3 linked regions of the Saccharomyces cerevisiae S288C genome follow. Changing the gene in region 1 together with any one later gene gives a genetic interaction. Each region holds a gene or a part of one and is shown in the gene's direction. Other genes may lie near its edges.

Evidence for each region.
Region 2: mutations in ITC1 (region 1) and HSP30 together harm fitness more than expected from each alone (negative genetic interaction), as found in Saccharomyces cerevisiae (one large-scale study listed by BioGRID).
Region 3: mutations in ITC1 (region 1) and VAC7 together harm fitness more than expected from each alone (negative genetic interaction), as found in Saccharomyces cerevisiae (one large-scale study listed by BioGRID).

The regions. Positions count from the first base shown.
Region 1 is NC_001139.9:255,743-262,201, forward strand, and holds ITC1 (Itc1p), read left to right. Parts: upstream 1-1,964; coding exon 1,965-5,759; downstream 5,760-6,459. Other genes in the region: PCL10 (Pcl10p), read left to right, coding at 1-1,222; DNA-binding E3 ubiquitin-protein ligase SNT2, read right to left, coding at 5,906-6,459. UniProt on the Saccharomyces cerevisiae protein: Functions as a component of the ISW2 complex, which acts in remodeling the chromatin by catalyzing an ATP-dependent alteration in the structure of nucleosomal DNA.
Region 2 is NC_001135.5:155,329-159,104, reverse strand, and holds HSP30 (Hsp30p), read left to right. Parts: upstream 1-1,997; coding exon 1,998-2,996; downstream 2,997-3,776. Other genes in the region: YCR023C (uncharacterized protein), read left to right, coding at 1-567; YCR022C (uncharacterized protein), read left to right, coding at 1,340-1,684; HTL1 (Htl1p), read right to left, coding at 3,549-3,776. UniProt on the Saccharomyces cerevisiae protein: Probably cooperates with other heat shock proteins in the translocation of polypeptides through membranes. It may counteract the altering effect of heat shock on the plasma membrane.
Region 3 is NC_001146.8:524,428-530,363, forward strand, and holds VAC7 (Vac7p), read left to right. Parts: upstream 1-1,658; coding exon 1,659-5,156; downstream 5,157-5,936. Other genes in the region: tyrosine/serine/threonine protein phosphatase MSG5, read left to right, coding at 5,515-5,936. UniProt on the Saccharomyces cerevisiae protein: The PI(3,5)P2 regulatory complex regulates both the synthesis and turnover of phosphatidylinositol 3,5-bisphosphate (PtdIns(3,5)P2). Positively regulates FAB1 kinase activity.

The DNA.
Region 1 (6,459 bases):
GGACGATTATAACGCTTCGTTCGAATTACCTTTGAAACCAAAGTTTTTACAGAGTGAGAATTTCTCAGATTTAACAAGTGAATGGGACCAGTCTAGATCAAATACGCCTGGTCTTGCAGAAGGCAAGACTGAGAAAGCACAGCCATGCGGTACAACAGATAGTTCAAAAAATAGAATACATGTAGAGCAACTGTTGGAATCCGCTAATGAAATGAATAATTATTTGGCGCAGAATATAGAGAACATAAACAATTTTCAGGTGGGGCTATTGAATGGAGGGAAAGGATTATATAGTTCCATGGGTGATGATTCGAGCGCGTGTATTAATGGCACTAATTTTAGCTCAACGTCCAATTTTGAACTAAGTGATGATGAGCTAGAGGATACCACGGGTTGCACAAGTTCTATTTTTGATAAAGATCTTTTCCATCAACAAAACGGGCTAAGCATACCTCGCCGTAGATCACCACTCTTCAAATCTCCAACTGCCAGTTTCGAAATTGGCGATGCTACGGATGTGGAGGAGCAAGATATTGATGACTCCATTTTTTCTGAATGTAGCAGCATTACAAGCTTTGATATGGGAGGGTTGCATATCAGTCTACCACACGATGAAGAAGAAGATCAAGAAAAAACTAAGTCCGAAAGTGAAAACCCGTTGCTACATGGCATACCGGTTGATGTAGAAGTGCCCCACATATCGGTTGATGAAGCTCTGGCGAATTTCAAGGAAACCATAGAACTACTACTAAAACTTAGTGGCAATAGAAAGTGTACCGGTTTCAATACTAGAGTGGAGAAAAAAGAATACTCGAATTTCTACATGAAAAGTAAACCCACCTTATCATCAGCAGATTTTCTCAAGAGAATCCAAGACAAATGTGAGTACCAGCCAACTGTTTACCTTGTGGCAACATTTTTAATTGACACGTTGTTTTTAACAAGGGATGGCAATAACATTTTGCAGTTGAAGTTAAACTTACAGGAAAAGGAGGTCCATCGAATGATAATAGCAGCGGTTAGATTGAGCACGAAATTATTGGAAGATTTCGTTCACTCACATGAATATTTTAGTAAAGTATGCGGTATTTCGAAACGGCTTTTGACTAAATTAGAAGTCAGTCTATTGATCTGTGTGTGCAATACTAAATTAATGGTCAGTAACAGGAAATTAGCCGCCTCCAAATTACTTTTGAATGAACTACGGTCCTTCTGTGTATAGTTGATACAAGTATTTTAGATAATTATTTTAACGAACGTAACGAATGCTTTCCAGTCAATAGCGGCACTGGTAATATGATACAAACAATTTCTCAATAAAACAACGACAAACTTAGTCTGTTTATATTTCCGTGCAATGGTGGAAACCTGTACTCGATATTGGAGAAAACTTCAGAGCTTCCCAACAGTTATCCCGGATTCTTAATTGATGCTCTCGAAACGCACATAAAAATGTGATTTTTTTACTCGCATTAAATTACTGTTGAATCTATGGTTCAAACAAATGTATATTTGCCTACACATCTTTCTCTGTCCCTTCTGTATTGTCTAACCTTAAAATAGAAATATTTCATGGTTTTATTTCTTTTAAGTTTATTATCCATTTTTAACGTGGTGAGAAAACCCGAAATGAAAAATAATAAAGGAAAATTATAGAGGAAAAAAAGTGTAGAAATAGAAAAAAAATAAAAAGGATAATACCGATCAGAAAAATCCTCTTTCTTGCTCTTCTTCTTTTCTTTGTATTTCTCCTGAAAAAATTCAGAAAAACATATATTGGGTTAAATACATAACTATTTAAAAGGCTGTAAACAATTCAACTGACATTAGATACATCACACTCAATTACTGTTGGAAATAGGCAGATATATCCAGATTTTTACAATTACTATAGCACTTCCATTGAAGATATATAAAAAAAGAAAATAACAATAGGAGGAAGTAAAGAAAGCCGTTAATAAACAATGGTGTTATATAAAAGGAAACCTATATTACTTCCTGATCCAAAACCTTTACCATTGGATTTGAATGTACAAGTATGGCATATTGAAGAGACTGGAGAATGGTTTTCTAGTTACGAAGAATTTTTAGAAAGGTTTGATTTCTACACACGCCACCATTTTACATGCGAAATCACTGGTACTTCTTGCCTGACTTTTTTCCAAGCTCTGGATAGTGAGGAGACACAATTCAAATACGTCGAAGACAGATTCCCATTAAAGTTGAGAGAACCAGTTGCAAGATTTTTACATTTTAACGGAATAAGAAGGTTAGATGCATTGGTGGAGAAAGTTTACGCAAGATTTAAAAATGACTTTTTCCCAGGAGAAGTTGTTTATCTACGTAAACAGAAAGACTCTTCTACCACAAGCTCTAATTCCCAACAAAGTACTCCTCAACCTGATGATATGGTCGAAATCAACAGTGTTGGTAATCCTGGCTTACCGCAGTACCAATACCAAAGACGTTATGTTATCAAAGAAAAGGTCCAATTTAACGCAACGATAAATCCAGAGAGCAGGGAAATTGTGATGCCCGCTCATACTAAATACATGCTGATAGAAGAAGCAGCTTCCAGTAATAAATCCTTCATTGTTGATCAAGGACAAATTTACAGGGACCGTTCCACTTTCACTAAGCACTTAATCAAATGTTTTTTCAAGATTACTTTACAGAGGGCATCTTCGAAAATGGGTGCACCTTGGTGTGTCAAACCGGAATATTTAGCGATGTATGGTTTAACGATGGAATGGCCAAAAGATATGTTAAAATATAAAGAAGATGAACCTGTCGTAGCAAGACGTTCCAACAGTGCCAATGTTTCATCCCCAGAAAGTGAAAAGAATAAACGTCAAAGTAAATCATCGGGTAAAAGTAACACCTCAAACGATGCTTCTAACAAAAAAGAAACCAAGAAAAAAAGAAAGCCAACCGAAGTAAATGATTCTGAGAATAATTCTTCGGAAGAAGACAAGAAGAAGGGTCAAAATGTCACATCAGAAACACATTCTAAAAAAAGGAAAAAGGAAGCCAATGAGGAACCGAACACGGAAAACGTCGAAAGCGTTCCTACACCAGCTAATGCGGAGCCTCAGGCTGTAACAATAACGAGCATAATGGATGACCTAGCTTTGCCATATCAACATCCACCGAACATCTTTCCAAACTTAACGTATTATAATGAAAAATTAGAATGTATTTCATTAGGTTCTACAAAACTTTCCAGACCTTTTGATTCTTTTGGAAAGCTATTACAAGCCTATCAGTTTCTGAATACGTTTGGTTCGAAAATTTGTCTCTCTCATTTTAGCCTTGACCAATTCATTACTTCTTTGAAATGTACAGACCCATATGAGTTAAAGGGCGAAGTTGTTTTAGTGAACATAAGAACGCAAACGTCTAAAGAACAAGAAATTGAAAATAACGGCCTGCCGATGAAAAACAAAGCAGAGACTACTACTGAGGAAGACTCTGAAAACCCAAGTGACTGGCAAAGAAATTCATTTATTCGTGATATGATAATGAAAAGAAATTCCGACAAGGTTGAGTACAAGATTGTTCACGATGACCCAGCATCCGATGATATACTTGATAATATCAATCATAATGGGTCTGCTCTTCTCATTGAAGTTTTTACTGCGCTCTTACGTTTGTTCATCAACGAAGAAGGCGATTGGAGTTGCATCGTCGTTGAAAACTGGATAATAGACGACAAGGGAGTCCTTATGGAGAGAAAAGATGAAAGAGGGGAGGGGGAGGCGAAGCAAAAACGAAATGCTCACGGATACTTTTTACAAGATAAGGAAAAGATCGACAACCTAAAGGACACATTAAAGGAAAACGCAACAGAAGTTCAAAAAGAATCAGACGCTAAAAACGAAACAAATTCAGAATCTGATTCTAAATCTGATTCTGACAGTGAAGAACGAGATCCTAAATTAGAAAAGTGTTTGAACTACCGCAATGTTAACTGGATAGAACGCTTGACGAAAAGGCAATTTAATAACAGTTACTGGCTAATAATTTTACTGGGAGTCTTAGAAGATTGTAGACATCTTCCCATGTATACAGAGTTTATTGATTCTTTCATAGAAAAGATCATACCCAAAGATATATCAGCTACTCAATTGCCCAAACAGCTTTGGAGAAATTTCTGTCGAAAGCTGTCGTTCAGTGACAAAGTCAATGCGCTGTGGATACTTGTAGATCTCGTATCGCATTTTTCTCCAGATATCAAAGCTGCTGTAGATGATTCCATGGAACTATGTGGTCAAATTCGTAGCGAAAGATTCAAAGTTGCGAGAGAGTTGAAAACGGAGGCAGCCGTCTTAAGTAATCTTCAAGGCGACCTGCAGGCAATTCAAGAGAAGTTAAATAAAACAGATGAAAACACACCATCAGCCGATGGTGCCGATAAAAAAGATGATTCCGAATCAAATAGTGAACCAATTGATCTTATTATCATTGAGAAAAAGCAAAAGTTAATTGAAGAGCAGGATAAAAAGGTACAAGCTTTACAATCAGATAAAAATTTCCTCGATAATTGTCTATTTGAAAACGATCTACAAAGATTAAAGCCGTTGGGATTGGATCGATACGGGAACAGGTATTTTTGGCTGGATCACAATGGTGTTCCATTTCCTCAATATCCTGCTGGTATGAATGAGACGCCGAAAAGTAACAATAGTTTGAGTTATCACTCCGGTCGTTTATTAATTCAGGGACCTAAAGCATCATCGGCGAAATTCTTTTTGAACGTCAGTGATGAGCAATTGAGCAATTGGCAAAAAATCAGAAATTCCGAAGGAATATCCGAGGCAACTAGGGAAGTATTTGGTATCTCCAAAACTAGTTCCGGATCTTATAATTACGTAGAAAATGGAATAGAGGTCGAACTATTGGACAGTAATGATCGCGTAAACCCACTTATAGAGCTGACACCTATTCAAAAGAAAATTATGGATGAAACACCTTCAAGGTTGCTACTATCACCAGATCAATGGTATTGCATTGACAAGTTAGAGGACTTGTCAAGAATAATGGACTGGTTAGATAATTGGGGTCGCAAAGAGCATGATCTCTTGAGGCAAATCAGACCCATAATGGAACGAATTAAAAGTTCCCTTAGCTTGCGCGACCATGCGCTGTCACTGACAGCATTCACCAAAAATGAAGAAAAGTTGCTAAAGGAGTTAGAAAATAATGAATTTACCGAAAACGAATTGAACGTTGATAGTATGGATGTTGATGATAAAAATAGCGGTGTTAAAAGTGAGGTTGATGTACAGGTTGATGCCGAAGAGAAGAGAGAAGCTGTGATAGACGAAAAGTTGGAGGTGATTGCAGACGAACTCATGAAGCTAGATGATAGCTCGAAAACACGCAATGTTCTTAATAGAATACAAGAATTAGAAGATCAGAGAGATGAACTCTTGGAACAGAAAAAATCCATAATAAATTCGCAGAGGCCAGGCGCGAGGATTTTAGCCCGTTCAGAAAGGAAAAGAACCAAAATCTCCCGTGGTAATAAGGTGAATAAGCAGATTGAAATATTGACTGACTTAGTCAATTATAGACATTTTAAAGCTATGGAAGATGTGATAGCTTGGAAAAACGTTTTAGCAAATTCGATATGGGGTTCCTCACTTCGCAAAAATGCATCTGGTAATAAAAGGAGTGGTGTCATTGAAACAGTAGACGATAAATTAAAAGATATAGTGGGCCAAACCTCAAGAACAGTAACACCTGCCCCAAATTAATATATAAAAAACTTCCTTTGTAACTGATGGTAAATTGTAGTATTCATAAATAGGATAAGATTATTCATTGTAAGCATAATGGAAAAAAATAACACAACAAAGCCGCGCAAGATTGGACCATACTTTCTATCTAAGGTAACTATCACTTACTGGCTTGATGGATGCGTATTTTTGTCGGTACCAGCTTCTGAAATATCGATATCAAACATAGCTGGCTCAATTCCTTCCATCAATTGCTGGGTAATTTCGACTGGTAAACCGTTATCGTTAGAGATATTAGCAGATGCGCTATCAAAATCGAGTTCTTGGGCACCTGATCTCAAATTGCAAGAATGGCAAATAATATCTTCATACCAGTATAAACTTTTGTTTGTACCACAATGTGGGCAAGTCCTTTCGAAAGGAAGTACGTAAATTTTGGGTTTAATAGCAGAGTCGTGTGAGTTTCCTGGCATTTCGCCGTGTCGCAGTCTAAGCTGTTCAAAATATCTCAACTCCACTAGACTATGGTCAGATTCGCACTTATAATATCTGCAGTATTGTTCTATGTATGACAGAGTATGTTGAGGCTTGTACGATAATGGATAAAGTTCGTTTCCTTCTAAGCTGATATCGTGTCTATCGCATATTAGTATAGGTCTCAAAGTGTATGTATCGTTAAGCTTGACATCCTTTATGCACGGTAGAGTGGTGTCTACAG
Region 2 (3,776 bases), on another chromosome or scaffold:
TGTTTTGTGGTTATTTTCATTTTTCCCATAGTTGATCGAAATTTCGATTGTTTAACAATTTTCAGAACTTTAGTCAAGCTGTACCCTATTATGTACGTTATGGTTCCTTACGTTGTTTTTCTACAGAATGAACGGATTCCTAGCTGGTATACTGTCGTCTACTTGTACATAATCACAGGGATAAAAACATTTTGTGGCGCTTTAACGTCACCACAAATTATGTTATTAATTCATAATTCGAGTCCCTTGAGTTGTAGATCAGTCATCAATGGCGCCACCATTAGTATTTCTGCCTCTGCTCGTTTCATAGGTCCCTTAGTATGGGGCTATATTATGTCTTGGTCCCAGCAAAATGACGTCGCCTGGGTCAGTTGGTGGTCGTTAAGTCTTTTTTGTATGGTAGCTCTTTATCAAAGTTATAAGATAGCACCAATTGATGATAACGAAAATGAGCTTCATGGACAGGGTAGTGAAGATGCCTACAATTCGCAGTCACAGTCTTCTGATTTAAGAATGGCTCATCGATCTAGTTTAAGCAGCTTAAGTAACCAACGCTGTACCACATGAGAAATTTTTTTTCAGAAGGCTTGCAAAAAGGATATCTAATAAAAAAAAAAATGAACTCCAGTAGATTTTAGATATCAACCATAACTGGCGAAAATTTGCACCTTTTTGATGAGAGCATGTTATGTCAAGGCATGGCCGCGTGATGGCATTGCACTCAAGATAGTTTCCGGAATTATTATACTCCTTATGTAAATTTCAATCCGTTTATGTAATTATATCCAGGAACTCAATTTGACCAGACAAGTAATGGCGCCCATTTTGAGCGAGAGAACCCATTTTTCTATACAAATTTCACTAGAGCACGGCCGTTACATTTAGTAATAGCCAATAAGGGTTTTTTATCGATTAGTGTTCCCTGCGCTCCTTAACATCATACAACCGAGTACTTGACATGGAGATAGTAGGCAAGTAAACCAAAGTCCTTTCTTCAAAAGTAGAAAACTTGAGCACTTATTTCCTGCGCATGTCATATGTTAATTTTCCTCAACTGCGCTGAATACGTCCTGTCAATTCAAATATATCACGTTGTGAGCAGCCCTGAAGAAGAAAACCTCAACAGCAGTATTACTATTACAATCAAACAACTTTAGTGCCGCGTGATACCGGGGGTTGAAGTGGGTGCATTGAGCCGTATTCTTCTTCCCCGTAAGAAAGTTGTGTATCCTTTTTACTGCGTTGTAATAGCTTCTGAAAACCTAAAAAATGAACGCTATGTAGCTCATATCCGTTTTGCATAAGTAAGAATAACTACTTGTGCAGGGTGCCGAAAGGGATGGAAAACCGCTGCAGCAACCCTTGTTACATACAGTCGGATCCATCTGACTTACTTTCCTTGCGTCTCCCTGCGCGATTTTGTTGGCCATTTTCCAGATCCTCTAGAATTTTTCAAGGGTCGAGCCGTAGGAGGATTCTCTCAGAAGGCAAAAACGCATCGAAAGCGTGCTTTGTAAGAATATTTGGTATGGCTAAAGTAAGCAAAGCCATATCCCGATCCCGATCCCGACTCTTATTCCGATCCCTTCCGCCACATCCTGCATGTTTATTCGAATACCAAATTAGCTCATCTTCGTTATTTCATCATCCCTTTCTGCTATGGCAAGGACAAGTTTTTTTCTAGCATCTCATCGAAAACTTTCCTCTCCCTAATTGGCCAAAGTTTTCATATTCATCATCAGTTAGAAAGTATAATATCAATCCCTTACCTCATTACAAGTTGTATCACACTAAAAAAATCATATATAAGTCTGTGAGAGTCTTCAATTATTTAGCGTAACACCTATTCACTTTCTAATCTTGTTTCTTGTTTTTACATTCTGCAATACAACACAACAACAAATATTAACTCAATTATTATTATTTATAATTACAAAAACAAAACAACAAGTTTGAGACTTTAATATCTTTTGATTACTAAAAACAACAAATTTCAAATGAACGATACGCTATCAAGCTTTTTAAATCGTAACGAGGCTTTAGGGCTTAATCCACCACATGGCCTGGATATGCACATTACCAAGAGAGGTTCGGATTGGTTATGGGCAGTGTTTGCAGTCTTTGGCTTTATATTGCTATGCTATGTTGTGATGTTCTTCATTGCGGAGAACAAGGGCTCCAGATTGACTAGATATGCCTTAGCTCCTGCATTTTTGATCACTTTCTTTGAATTTTTTGCTTTCTTCACTTATGCTTCTGATTTAGGTTGGACTGGTGTTCAAGCTGAATTTAACCACGTCAAGGTTAGCAAGTCTATCACAGGTGAAGTTCCCGGTATTAGACAAATCTTTTACTCGAAATATATTGCCTGGTTCTTGTCCTGGCCATGCCTTTTATTTTTAATCGAGTTAGCCGCTAGTACTACTGGTGAGAATGACGACATTTCCGCCTTGGATATGGTACATTCGCTGTTAATTCAAATCGTGGGTACCTTATTCTGGGTTGTTTCGCTATTAGTTGGTTCATTGATCAAGTCCACCTACAAGTGGGGTTATTACACCATTGGTGCTGTCGCTATGTTGGTTACCCAAGGTGTGATATGCCAACGTCAATTCTTCAATTTGAAAACTAGAGGGTTCAATGCACTTATGCTGTGTACCTGCATGGTAATCGTTTGGTTGTACTTTATCTGTTGGGGTCTAAGTGATGGTGGTAACCGTATTCAACCAGACGGTGAGGCTATCTTTTATGGTGTTTTGGATTTATGTGTATTTGCCATTTATCCATGTTACTTGCTAATTGCAGTCAGCCGTGATGGCAAATTGCCAAGGCTATCTTTGACAGGAGGATTCTCTCATCACCATGCTACGGACGATGTGGAAGATGCGGCTCCTGAAACAAAAGAAGCTGTTCCAGAGAGCCCAAGAGCATCTGGAGAGACTGCAATCCACGAACCCGAACCTGAAGCAGAGCAAGCTGTCGAAGATACTGCTTAGAGCAGCTTGAGATTGTCTTAATCATTCTTTGCTTAACACATTTCAAAACATCAGTTTTCTTCTTTTAATGTCACTAATGAAACTTAATATTTAATAATCTAATTTTAATTTCTTTATGAAATATGCAAAATAAATTATATACACAAACACAATAATTAATAATCTAATCTCATTTTTCCAAAATCAAGAAATGTTCTTACTGCTTCCATGCCTGAATAGTCTAATCGATAGTAGGCCATTTCAATTCTTTTTAGTTATATGGAGACGCAAACACCACTTTATTTTAGCGTACCCTACCAAAATTAAACGATAATATGGTATTTTTATTCTCATTTGTTACACTCTATTCTGTATCACTGGATACATTCGCGGTAACTTGTTTTATAAAGTGAGATGGGATTTATGACCATTAGATGCATATAAAAGCTTCCAAATAATAATAAGATATTGTGACTTTTGGTGAACTAGATACGCTTTGAAATTCTTCATTTGTAATGAAGCAGGATTCACATTCAATATTTTGTAGCTTACAATTGTGAATGTTGCGTTTTCCTACTTTTTCCTTTCATTTTTCAAAGCATCGAGCATTTTTTTCATTTCTTCCAAACTCATCCTTTGCCTTTCAGGATTGATAATACTATTGTGTCTTTCCGTACTTTCTACCAAGTTCAATAACTCGCATATGTTTTCTCTTTGAGATAATAACTGAAATGCTGTTAAATTTTTCAGCGTTACATTGTTGTAAGCTCTTTCAGGATTCATTGAGCTGATTGTGTTGTT
Region 3 (5,936 bases), on another chromosome or scaffold:
AATAACCTCAGTCACCTTGTGCAAGAACTTAACAAGAAACCAATTATTAAAGGCTTACTTACTGATAGTAGATCAACGATCAGTATAATTAAGTCTACAAATGAAGAGAAATTTAGAAACAGATTTTTTGGCACAAAGGCAATGAGACTTAGAGATGAAGTATCAGGTAATAATTTATACGTATACTACATCGAGACCAAGAAGAACATTGCTGATGTGATGACAAAACCTCTTCCGATAAAAACATTTAAACTATTAACTAACAAATGGATTCATTAGATCTATTACATTATGGGTGGTATGTTGGAATAAAAATCAACTATCATCTACTAACTAGTATTTACGTTACTAGTATATTATCATATACGGTGTTAGAAGATGACGCAAATGATGAGAAATAGTCATCTAAATTAGTGGAAGCTGAAACGCAAGGATTGATAATGTAATAGGATCAATGAATATTAACATATAAAACGATGATAATAATATTTATAGAATTGTGTAGAATTACAGATTTCCTTTTATGGATTCCTAAATCCTCGAGGAGAACTTCTAGTATATTCTGTATACCTAATATTATAGCCTTTATCAACAATGGAATCCCAACAATTATCTCAACATTCACCCATTTCTCAAAACTATCACGGAATACTAATCGAAGACTAGTGACGCACGTTACGCTATAGCAACAACGTCACAAGGATAACGTTAGTAGTTTTTTGGAAGGACAATTGCAAACTATATGTAAACGAACGAAGACACACAGTCCAAAGCTGTAACAACAACCACATATATAAATGGTAGTCTTCTAGGAAACTTCACTGTAAGATTAGATACGTAGAGGTGAAAGACAAGTTGAAGTTTGGATCGGAAGTTCCATTAATATTTGGGTAAGTAAGTTCGCCGCGCGGCAGAAACGGTGAGTACTTACTCACTTTTGTTCTAACTACAACAAAAAACTGTAAAAGTGGTGTAAGGTTTACGTTCCGTTTTGGTTGCAAATCATCAGCCCTGGTTTAAGCTTTATGTCCAACATTGGTTAGCGAAGGCACCGTACTGGTCTCGATGTCGGTGAGCAGGGGCGGCGAAATTCATTCCAATCTTGGATAATATATATGTATATATCTATACACGCGGCGAGATCTTGTCCTCTAATTTCCCTTCGCTAAATCATTAAGAGGTCATTCATGAAGTTAATTCAGCACCAAAGTTGGACTGTTAGACACGAGATACACATTGCAGTCCAAATGTGCAGATTTTTCAGATAATTGTCGTCGCACAAGACTGCCCCTCCCGTCCTCAGACAGACACAAAATTAGATTTTACGTTTACATAAAGATGTACATAACTTGAAAAAACGTTAATCCCTCTTAAATTTAGACCTTGTAAGTCTTCCTGGCCACTCTTTGTGATATATTGTAGTGCAATATATTGATTCGTTCTTCTTATTTCTTTGTTCTTAGGCATTTCCGCTTTAGAAAATTCGTTGGGTGGTTTCTGCGACGGGTATCCCCTTCGATTTTGCATAATGATCTTCAATTCTACAACTAAAATCAAGTAGATACAGGAAAATATTCCATAAATTATAGTGTAAATCGCCCTGTATACACCTTATCGTTTCATCTCAGGCAAGTTAAAGCATTTGGGAAACGTGCTAGATGACAGAAGAAGATAGAAAGCTCACTGTAGAGACAGAAACAGTTGAGGCACCCGTGGCAAATAATCTTTTATTGTCGAATAACAGTAATGTAGTAGCACCTAATCCTTCTATTCCCTCTGCCTCCACATCTACCTCTCCGCTACACAGGGAAATAGTTGATGATTCTGTCGCTACTGCTAACACCACCAGCAACGTTGTACAGCATAATTTGCCCACCATAGATAACAATTTAATGGATTCCGATGCCACGTCACATAATCAAGATCATTGGCATTCAGACATAAACAGGGCAGGAACATCAATGTCAACGAGTGATATCCCAACAGATTTACATTTAGAACATATCGGCTCTGTTTCATCAACTAATAATAATAGTAACAATGCCCTAATCAACCACAACCCTCTGTCATCTCATCTTTCCAATCCGTCATCTTCATTACGAAACAAGAAGAGCTCTTTGTTGGTAGCTTCTAACCCTGCGTTTGCTTCAGATGTTGAACTCTCGAAGAAGAAACCTGCCGTCATCTCCAATAATATGCCTACAAGTAACATTGCCCTTTATCAAACAGCGAGATCGGCGAATATTCATGGTCCATCATCAACTTCCGCATCTAAAGCGTTCAGAAAGGCTTCGGCCTTCTCCAATAACACGGCACCCAGCACTAGTAATAACATCGGCTCGAATACACCTCCAGCTCCTCTTTTACCTCTACCTTCACTATCACAACAAAATAAGCCAAAAATAATAGAGAGGCCCACAATGCACGTCACTAATTCAAGAGAAATACTTTTAGGTGAAAACCTGTTAGATGATACAAAGGCGAAGAATGCTCCCGCGAATTCAACCACACACGATAATGGTCCAGTAGCAAATGATGGGCTGCGTATACCGAATCACTCGAACGCAGATGATAATGAAAATAACAACAAAATGAAGAAGAATAAAAACATTAATAGTGGGAAAAATGAACGTAATGATGACACCAGCAAAATATGCACTACATCTACTAAAACAGCGCCTTCAACCGCACCTTTGGGCAGTACAGACAATACTCAGGCTCTCACTGCTAGTGTCTCCAGCAGTAATGCTGACAATCACAATAATAACAAGAAGAAAACCAGCAGCAACAACAACGGCAATAACAGTAATAGTGCATCCAATAAAACCAATGCCGATATCAAGAATTCTAACGCCGACTTGAGCGCTTCTACCTCTAACAATAATGCAATAAATGACGACTCACATGAGAGTAATTCAGAAAAACCAACAAAGGCGGATTTTTTCGCTGCAAGGCTGGCTACAGCTGTAGGTGAAAATGAAATTAGTGATTCTGAGGAAACATTTGTTTATGAATCGGCAGCTAATTCGACTAAAAACCTAATATTTCCTGACTCCTCCAGCCAGCAGCAGCAGCAGCAACAGCAACCTCCAAAACAACAGCAACAGCAACAAAATCATGGAATAACCTCAAAGATAAGCGCCCCATTGCTAAACAATAACAAAAAATTATTAAGCCGACTGAAAAATTCAAGACATATTAGCACTGGTGCCATATTGAATAACACAATCGCGACTATAAGCACAAATCCGAACTTGAATTCTAATGTGATGCAGAACAATAACAATCTGATGTCGGGACACAATCACCTGGACGAGTTGAGCAGTATAAAACAGGAGCCACCGCATCAATTGCAGCAGCAGCAACCACCAATGGATGTACAATCGGTAGATTCGTATACCTCTGACAACCCAGACAGCAATGTTATTGCCAAGTCGCCTGATAAGAGGTCAAGCTTAGTATCCCTATCTAAAGTTTCTCCACATTTACTTTCATCCACATCAAGCAACGGTAACACAATATCGTGTCCCAATGTTGCCACAAATTCGCAGGAATTGGAACCAAACAATGATATTTCAACGAAGAAATCTCTTTCCAATTCTACTTTGAGACATTCCTCTGCTAATAGAAATTCTAATTATGGTGACAACAAAAGGCCTCTTAGAACAACAGTGTCAAAGATATTTGATTCAAACCCTAATGGAGCTCCTTTACGGAGATACTCTGGGGTACCGGATCACGTTAATCTAGAAGATTACATCGAACAGCCGCATAATTATCCAACAATGCAAAATAGTGTGAAAAAGGATGAATTTTATAACAGCAGGAACAATAAGTTTCCCCATGGTTTAAACTTTTATGGTGATAACAATGTTATTGAAGAGGAAAATAATGGTGACTCGTCTAATGTAAATCGACCGCAACACACTAACCTTCAGCATGAGTTTATTCCAGAAGATAACGAAAGTGATGAAAACGATATTCACTCCATGTTTTATTATAATCATAAGAACGATTTAGAAACAAAACCGCTAATATCCGATTATGGTGAAGATGAAGACGTAGATGATTATGATCGCCCAAATGCTACTTTCAACAGTTACTATGGCTCAGCATCCAACACGCACGAACTTCCATTACATGGAAGGATGCCTTCAAGATCAAATAATGATTACTACGATTTTATGGTTGGCAACAATACTGGCAATAACAACCAATTGAATGAATATACCCCCTTAAGAATGAAACGTGGTCAAAGACACCTATCAAGAACAAACAATAGCATAATGAATGGTAGCATCCATATGAATGGTAACGATGACGTTACCCATTCCAATATCAATAATAACGATATTGTTGGTTACTCACCGCACAACTTTTACTCAAGGAAGTCCCCATTTGTGAAAGTAAAGAATTTTCTTTATCTTGCATTTGTTATATCATCACTATTGATGACAGGATTCATTCTGGGATTTTTATTGGCCACTAATAAAGAACTACAAGATGTAGACGTGGTAGTGATGGATAATGTGATTTCAAGTTCGGACGAGTTGATCTTCGACATCACAGTAAGTGCTTTTAATCCAGGATTCTTCAGTATAAGCGTTTCCCAAGTCGATTTGGACATTTTTGCAAAAAGTTCTTACCTGAAGTGCGATTCTAATGGTGACTGTACAGTAATGGAACAGGAACGGAAAATTTTACAAATAACGACAAATCTTTCGTTAGTTGAAGAGAGTGCTAATAATGATATTAGTGGTGGGAACATAGAGACGGTATTACTAGGAACCGCTAAAAAACTAGAGACACCATTAAAGTTCCAGGGCGGCGCATTTAATAGGAACTACGATGTGTCAGTCTCGAGTGTCAAGCTTTTAAGTCCTGGGTCTCGTGAAGCCAAGCACGAAAACGACGATGATGACGATGATGATGGCGACGATGGTGACGATGAAAACAATACTAATGAAAGACAATACAAAAGCAAACCAAATGCTAGAGATGACAAAGAAGATGATACTAAAAAATGGAAGCTACTAATCAAGCATGATTACGAATTGATAGTCCGTGGAAGCATGAAGTATGAGGTGCCCTTTTTCAATACGCAAAAATCTACGGCTATTCAAAAGGATTCCATGGTCCATCCTGGTAAGAAGTGAGTGTTAAGAATGTAGCTTTTTCGTCAAAGCTGGGTATTTTTCTTTTTATAGCGCAGGAGCGGAAGGCAATTTCCAAAACAGGAATGTACTTTCCAAAAAAGGAAAATGTAGTTTGTTTTTTGATGTTTTTTTCTCTTTGACTATTTCAAATTTAGAAGTGAAAAAATACAAAAATGTTACATAGGATTCGATACAGTGTAATATATCATTATTATTACTTTTAAATAAAGCGTTTAGTAAACAAGAGTGAGGGTTATGCAACTCGTTTAGTAAACATTCTTTTTTTTTTCTTCATTTAAGTATAAGACAACAATAGTAGCGGAAGCGATAGTAATACATTTGGTAGCGATAAGTGCACATGCAATTTCACTCAGATAAGCAGCATTTGGACAGTAAAACCGACATCGATTTCAAGCCAAACTCACCGCGTTCCTTACAAAATAGGAATACCAAAAATTTATCTTTAGATATAGCAGCACTCCATCCATTAATGGAATTCTCATCGCCAAGCCAAGATGTGCCAGGTTCAGTAAAATTCCCATCGCCGACACCTTTGAATCTATTTATGAAGCCCAAACCTATTGTGTTGGAGAAATGTCCACCAAAAGTAAGTCCAAGGCCAACGCCACCATCGCTGTCGATGAGGCGAAGCGAGGCCTCTATATACACACTACCAACATCTTTGAAGAACCGAACTGTTTCTCCAAGCGTGTATACAAAATCATCCACAGTATCGTCTATCAGTAAGCTGTCATCATCATCACCGTTATCGTCATTTTC